Linked DNA regions of Macaca fascicularis. The protein of the gene in region 1 binds, or shares a complex with, the protein of each later gene. Links are inferred from orthologs where the notes say so. Each region holds a gene or a part of one and is shown on either strand. Other genes may lie near its edges.

Region 1 (3,648 bases):
AAAGTGATACATATATTATTGCCTAAAGTCCTACATAAAAAAAAACAGTAAGAATTTGCTTGCCTCTTTTCTCAAAAATTCTTAAAAGTTCAGAGAAATATCTCCTCTATTTAAATCTAAGAGTTAAAGAAATCTGCCAACTCTTTTTCATTCCCCGCTTGAGACAGGGTCTTACTCTCCAGGCGGAAGTGGTTGTGTGATCACAGCTCACTGCCATCTCAAACGCCTGGGCTCAAGTGATCCTTCCGTCTCAGCCTCCCAAACAGCCAGGACTACTGGCACACATCATCACTGACACCTGGCTAATTTTTTTTAAAAAAATTTGTGGAGACGGGGTCTTGCTATGTTGCCCAGGGTGGTCTCAAACTCCTAGGCTTAAGTAATCCTCCCACCTCAGCCTCCCAAAGTGCTAAGACTACAGGCGTGAGCCACCACATCCAGCCTAGCAACTCTTATATCAAGGTAGAAGGCCAACTAAGCAACCAGCCAATCTCTAGGTTAGATAAAATACCTCTCCTAGCTTGCATTTTAGTATAAATTTTCTAAGTTCCTGTCCTGCCAATACCCACCTCAGGGTTCTTGAGGGTCATCTCAATGCTGGCTGCAGGCCCAAATCCCGTGAGGGATTTAATGTGGATCTGTGTAGGCAATGGTCGCCTGCACTGGCAGTACACTGAAAATGCCATGGACTTCAAGTATTGAATGTAGAAAACTTGCTCATCCTTCATTGTCTGCAGCATGTACTGGCAAGGCACAATCTAAAGACACAAATACAAAAAACAAAACAAAACCAAAAACCTAGAAACTGAGATCTAACACGCTAACAAGCAAGCTGAAAAAGGAAACGGCATGAATTCCTTACCACATGGGGAGAGGTAACCTCAGCCCTAAAATATATCAGTGTCACACATAATATAATTAAATCCTAATTCCTTCCACTGACATAAAATTCTCTATCACCAGCAATTTCGAAAGATGTACGATTATATGGGTCAAGTTATACTGTCACTTAGAAACTACCATGTTCCCATTTGAGAGGTAAGATCTCAATTTATTACAGGTATTACCATGGCCCCCAAATTGTATTATATTTCTCCTTTTTATAATTACACAGTGTGTGTGGCATTTTTTGGAATTATTACCTAATCATTTAGGATACAGACTTCAAAACAATGGAAAACTATCAGCAATGTACTCTGATAACTTTAATTTCAATCTTTTAATTTTACAAGATAGCTTCAGTTAAAGTGACATTAAAATGAAACCCAAACATCCGAAGCACTGTTTTTCATCTATATAGAATTTTTTAAAAAATCATCACACTATAAAGCTGTCAAAGGTGCAGTGAAAATAAGCATACTCATTCACTGATGAAAGGAAAGTAAGTGTAATCTCTTTTGGAATGGAATTTGGCAATATGTGTCAGCATCTACATCTAAGAATCCATGTTAAAAAATGACCTGAAATGTGAAAAATAAGATTATACATAAATGTGTACTATGGCTTTATTTATAACAGTAAAGAAGTGGAGATATAGGAATGGCTATGGAAAATATGCAGTCATTAAAAATGCTTGTAAGAATTTAAATAACATGAAAATGTATTCATGAATAACATTAGATAGAAACTAAGTTATATTAAAAGTATGATCTCAACTGTGTAAACAAAAATAGAAAAACAAGCTAGAAAAACACCAAAATGGTAATGGTGGTTGAATGTAAAAGTCAGAATTATGATTATTTTTTCTTTTATACTTTCGGGTACAGGTTGAATATCCCTAATCAAAAAATCTGAAATCCAAAATGCGCCAAAACTCACAATTTTTGGAATGTCAATAAAACGCCACAAGTGGAAAATTCCGTATCAGACCTCATGTGATGTGCTGCAGTCAAATTTAATCAAAACTTTGTATAAAGCACAAAATTATTAAAAAAATTGTATAAAATTACCTTCAGGTTAAGTGTATAAGGTGTATATAAAACACAAATTTTATGTTTAGACTTGGGTCCACTGCCAAGGTCTCCCATTACATATATGCAAACATTCCAAAATCAGAAATCCAAAACACTCTGGTCCCTAGTATTTTGGTTAGAGGATAATTAACCTGTACTTCTATTTTTTAAGAAAAACCATAAGCCTGTATTTATTTTCACAACAACAAAAACATCAACATCAAAAGTAAATAATAAACTTGCAAACAGTAACCTGGAGAATGAAAGAACTTCTCATATGCTCAGGTAAATTATCCAGCATTTCTGTGTAGCAGCGCATCAAGCTCAACAGCCAAAAGTTCCCAGAAGTGGAGTCCTCCTCCGCAGCATAAGTGAATGGGTCTACCATGTAAATGACAACGGCTGGAGGGTGGGCATGGCTGTCTGCAGAGTCAGGCTCCGTGGGAATTCCTATTCTCTCCCTTTCTGTAACACTGGCAAGAGAGTCACTTGTGAGACACACAAAATAAACATAAATTACATGAGTATGAAAAACAAAAGTGCTCAATTCTAGAGCACACAGGCTCCCTAAAGAATATTTACAGATTAAATGTAAGAGTAACATGTATCACCTTACCAAAATACAGGCAAACCAAGCCAGAGAGCATTGAAAGCAGACGGAAAATGGCAATGTACTCCTCTAAAATGGGAGATATCTTTTTCAAACTCCCCTTTCTTTTCTGTGGTTATGTTGTACAAAGTTGTTATTAATTAAGTTGATTGTAAGTTTAATAATAAGGTTTATAAGTCATAATAATTTATAAGAAGTCTCAAAATTTTAACACTGCAGCTTTAGATTGACCATTACCCCTTTCTTTTGAGAAGAAGAGAAATAGAGCACTTCATAGGATTCAGAGAATCATGAGGTCAAGGGAGAAAAGGTGCAGAAGAAGAGAGAAAGGGTCTGAGCTGAGGCCACTCGTCTCAATTAGTGAGTAACATACCTCTCTTGTCCATCCTGTGAGGGCTGAGAAGAGCTCTGCCCAGGGTCAGTGTCTCCGCCACAGCCTATGCTCCCTTGAGTTCTATCCGTAGAAATGCCCCCAGTGCTGGGGTTCTGCCCTCCAACACTACCACTGAATCCTGAAGAAGAGGTAGTGCTTATCTGGCTAATACCAGGAGCAGAGGCAGACGATGAGACCGGTGGCACAGAGGAACCAGATGCGGAACTACTTGCTGCAGGATTTGTAGTACTACTATTCGAGGTGGGGTTAAATGCACTGCCAGCTGGGGGAGCTGCTGATCCATTTGGAGCTAAGGGCCCAGCATTCCCAGGCGTAGCCTGTCCCTGTGCCGCTGCTGGTGGGGTCTGGTATTTAGGTGGTATCAACAGGCTGCTATCAAGCTGCAGAGTGGCTAAATAAGGTGCTGAAAGAATACATGCAAAGAGGTGACTTTAGTGATATTCTGCAGTGTCGACTAAACCAGAAATCTAGAATGGTCACTTGTAAAAAAATTATGCTTTCAAGCTGCAATACTCTGATTACAATACACAAAATACTATCTCCACACTCATGCTTATGTATTCTGCAAACATGGAAATGCACACGGAGCAACTTATAAATTCTACAGAAGAGGCCTGTTTGAAAAGAGAAAATCAATCACTTGTGATAGTCTCCTTTCAGACTGATTCCATATGCCTGCCCTGAAAAATGAG
Region 2 (4,116 bases), on another chromosome or scaffold:
CCAAAGATTTCTTTACAACTTATTTTTTACAATTCCTTTACAGTAGCCCCAAAATTTTATCCACTTTCGCATCCTCAGGATCAAGCAGAGTGCCTAGAGTGTACACTCTAGAAATGTTGATTGAATTAAGAAACGGCTGACAGTGTGTGCAGGTAGTGTGGCCACAAGAATAGTTTCAAGTCCCAGGCACTCATTAGTTGCATGACCTGGGGCAAGTCGCCTAAATATACCAAGATCCATTCCTTCACCAATGAAACAGGACTACTACTACTTGCCTTCCCTACCTTACTGGCTCCTCAGGAGGCTTTACATAATGAGCGGCACTGTAAGATGCTATACACGTATATGTACAGTTTTGACAGGGCTGTTTCTTAGTCTAAATGGTGAAATGGAAAGAAACCTGGACTCAACAGTCAGAAGCTGTTGGGCCGTTGTACAGGGCTACGACTAACAGGTTCCGTTTTCCCATATTAAACACAAAGTTTAGTCTCGACGATGTTTCGGACTCTGCACTTTACAGTCTGTTAAATCCGCTACAGGCTCGGAACCTCAGGTGTCCTCAGAAAGGTAAACCCCAGGGTTCCCAGATGCACCTGCAAGGGCAGGGACAGTCAAGGTCGCGGTACTGAGACGCGGGACGCTCACCCAGTCAAAGTCACACGGGTTACCGTCTTCGCGTTGGGTGGGCAAACCGTCGCAGAGTGGCGGCAGTTTCCTCACGAGTAGGAAGGCAGCAGAGAGCAGGGCCGACAGAAGGTAGTAAGGTTGGGCAAGCCATCGTGAAAGTCGCGGCACCGAATACACCAGAGCAATTAGAGGAGCCAAGACCGCCATCTTTTCGGCCGCAAGGGCCACTGCTCACCGGCGTCGTAGGTCCGGCCCCGCCTCCCCCACCATAGCGACTGCTATTGGGCTACATCTCAAACGTACGGCCTCTAAACCCGGATGTAGTTCTGTCAACGCTGTGGTATGTCAGAACCCAAAAAAGAACTTAATATCTTATTGGTTGGTCTAGCTGTCGCTTTATCAGCTTAAGTCATTTTATTGGACTGTAGCTAACGTAGCTAGCAGAAGACTCTAATAAGGTTAAATAGCACTTCCTGAACGTTCTCAGAGAGCGACGGAAGTAGTTGTTGAAACAAGGTAGGCGGTGCCTGAGGCATCCAATGACAAGCGGTTCCTTGAGAAAGAGGTGGGTATTCCTTAAAGGCATTGTCCAATGAAAATTACCAACGCCAGACACCGAGACAGCGCCGGGGCGGAGGGGACGATGGAGAATTTCACGGCGCTGTTCGGGGCTCAGGCTGACCCACCACCGCCCCCAACCGCACTAGGCTTCGGACCAGGAAAGCCTCCACCCCCGCCACCGCCTCCTCCGGGCGGGGGACCCGGCACGGCTCCGCCTCCCACCGCGGCCACGGCCCCTCCCGGCGCGGACAAGTCAGGAGCTGGCTGTGGCCCTTTTTACCTCATGAGGGAACTGCCAGGTGAGTACTCGGCCTTGCCAAAGCCAGCCAATCAAATCTTAGAGAGGAGGTGTTGGGCGTGGCTCTCAGCCGGCTAACGGAGGTGCGAGGTAACCTAGGCAACGCATACCCGGACTGTGGAGCCCTAAGTCGAAAGGGCTATTAGGATTCACAAGCAGAGGGATGAGTTGAATTCAACCAAAGGGATGAATGGCGGGGAGCGGGGTGGTGCATCTCCGTGACTGTCTTTTGCACCATGTCCAGGCTGTGTTCCTGACACTGGTTTATGTCTCCCTAAAAAATTATCTAGGGCTGGGCGCAGTGGCTCACGCCTGTAATCCCAACACTCTGGGAGACGGAGGCGGGCGAATCACCTCAGGTCAGGAGTTCGAGACCAGCCTGGCCAACATGATGCAACTCTGTCTGTACTAAAAACACAAAAATTACTTGGGCGTGGTGGCGTATGCCTTTAATTCCAGCTACTCGGAACCCGGGAGGCGGAGGTTGCATTGAGCCGAGATTGCTCCACTGCACTCCAGCCTGGGCGATAGAATGAGACTCCGTCTCAAAACAAAAACAAACAAACAAAAAATCAAGAGTTTGAGTTTGGAACTCGAGAGGCCTGATTTAATATCTTTGGGGACCTAAAGTTTTAGTTACAAGTCTCCCACAGACTTGCTGTGGGTTTGGGGCAAGTTGCCACTCTTCCAAGATTTCTGCGTTTCCTGGTGTCATCAAAGAAGGGGTAAGAATCGAACCAAACTCTTTTCATTCAAAAAATTATTTTGTTGAGTACCTATGTACCAAGCACTTTTCTAAATGCTGGAGATACAGTTGTGAACGAGACTGACAAGATGCTTGCCTTTTTTGGAATGTACATTTCAGTGTAGGAGGCATTGTAAACAAGATAATGTCAGAGAGTGGTTAATGCTAGGAAGAGAAAACATTATAAAAAATTGAAGGTGGCCAGGCGCATTGCTCACGCCTGTAATCCCAGCGCTTGGGTAGGCTGAGGCAGGAGGATCCCTTGAGCCCAGGAGTTTGAGACCAGCCTGGGCAACATGGCGAGACCCAGTCTCTACAAAACATACAAGATTAGCCGGCCGTGGTAGTGCTTGCCTGTAGCCCCAGCTACTCAGGAGACTAAGGGAGGAGAATTGCTTGAACACAGGAGGTCCAGGCTGCAGTGAACCAAGATTGTGCCACTGCACTCCAGCCTGGGCAACAGATGAGACCCTGTCTCTTAAAAAAAAAATTGAGGGGCAGAACTACTTTAGCTAGAGTGGCCAGAGATGCTCTCTCCACATAGCTAAAATTTGAACTAAAATGTAAGCATAGACAAAGGGCCAGCCAGCTATGGACAGGAGGGAGAGATAATTCTAGATACAGGAAATGAGGTCAGAAACCCTGATGTGAGAAAAAGCTTAGAATATCTGAGGGACAGAAAATCAGTTGGACTCCAGTGAAGTGAACAAAAGGAAAGAGTGTTAGGAGAGAGATGAAGCTGGGAGAGTTAGGCAGAGGCTTTTATAAAGCAATAAAGGCATTTAGATTGTAAATACAAAAGGAAGCCATTTAAAACAATTTTTTATAGAGACAAGGTCTCACTGTGTCACCCAGGCTGGACTGCAGTGGTACAGTCATAGCTCACTGTAACCTCCAATTCCTAGGCGCATGCTGTCCTCCCACCTCAGCCTCCCAAGTAGCTAGGACTGCAGGCATGTGCCACCACAGTTGGCTAACTTAAAAATTTTTTGTAAAGACTGGGTCTTACTGTGTTGCCCAAGCTGGTCTTGAACTCCTGGCCAATGACAGTCCTCCCACCTTGGCCACCCAAAGTGCTAGGATTATAGGCCTGAGCCACTGTGCCCAGCCAAGGAAAGCCATTTTAACATAGGAACTTGGTCAAATGTACTTATTTAGAGAAGTAAATGGATACAGGGTGTTAGACGTAGAGCTGACAGGGTTGAAAAGCTGAATATAGGGCCAGGTGCTGTGGCTAACGCCAGTAATCCCAGCACTTTGGGAGGCTGAGGTGGGAGGACTGCTTGAGCCCAAAAGTTTGAGACCAGCCTGGGCAATATAATGAGACCCCATCTCTACAAAAAATAAAAGTAAATTAGCTAGGGATAGCAGCGTACACCTGTAGTCTCAGCTACTTAGGAAGCTGAGGTGGTAGAATCACTTGAGCCCAGGAAGTTGAGGCTGCAGTGAGCTGTGATTGTGCCACTGTGCTCCAGCTTAGATGATAGAGGAAGAAGCTGTCTCAGTTAAAAATACATATTGTATATAGAAGTGAAGGAGATAGAAGAATTGATGCCTTTTTAAGTTTTCAGCTTGAATAATTGGGTGTATGGGTATGAGACTTGGAAGATGAGGAAGGAACAAGTTTGAAGAGGTGGAAATCGAGTTGTTTTGGACATGTTTGGTCTCCAAGATGCTGCCTTTCTCTCTCTTTTTTTTTTTTTTTTTTTTCTCCTGAGACAGAGTTTTGCTCTTGTTGCGCAGGCTGGAGTGCAATGGCGCAATCTCGGCTCACTGAAACCTCCGCCTCCCAGGTTCAGGCGATTCTCCTGCCTCAGCCTCCCGAGTAGCTGGGATTACAGGCATGCGCCCCCACACCCAGCTAGTTTTTTATTTTTAGTAGAGA

The links. Proteins that work in one complex are often made in the same cells at the same time.
Region 2: MED13L (region 1) and MED19 share a complex: the UniProt entries of both Homo sapiens proteins name them as parts of the mediator complex. The link is inferred for Macaca fascicularis from reciprocal best matches to the Homo sapiens genes MED13L and MED19.

Annotation. Positions count from the first base shown.
Region 1 is NC_088385.1:122,931,240-122,934,887, forward strand, and holds part of MED13L (mediator of RNA polymerase II transcription subunit 13-like), read right to left. Parts: intron 3,360-3,648; coding exon 2,936-3,359; intron 2,426-2,935; coding exon 2,206-2,425; intron 759-2,205; coding exon 570-758; intron 1-569. UniProt on the Homo sapiens protein: Component of the Mediator complex, a coactivator involved in the regulated transcription of nearly all RNA polymerase II-dependent genes.
Region 2 is NC_088388.1:15,892,978-15,897,093, forward strand, and holds the start of MED19 (mediator of RNA polymerase II transcription subunit 19), read left to right. Parts: upstream 1-1,237; 5' UTR 1,238-1,270; coding exon 1,271-1,487; intron 1,488-4,116. Other genes in the region: TMX2 (thioredoxin-related transmembrane protein 2), read right to left, coding at 646-834. UniProt on the Homo sapiens protein: Component of the Mediator complex, a coactivator involved in the regulated transcription of nearly all RNA polymerase II-dependent genes.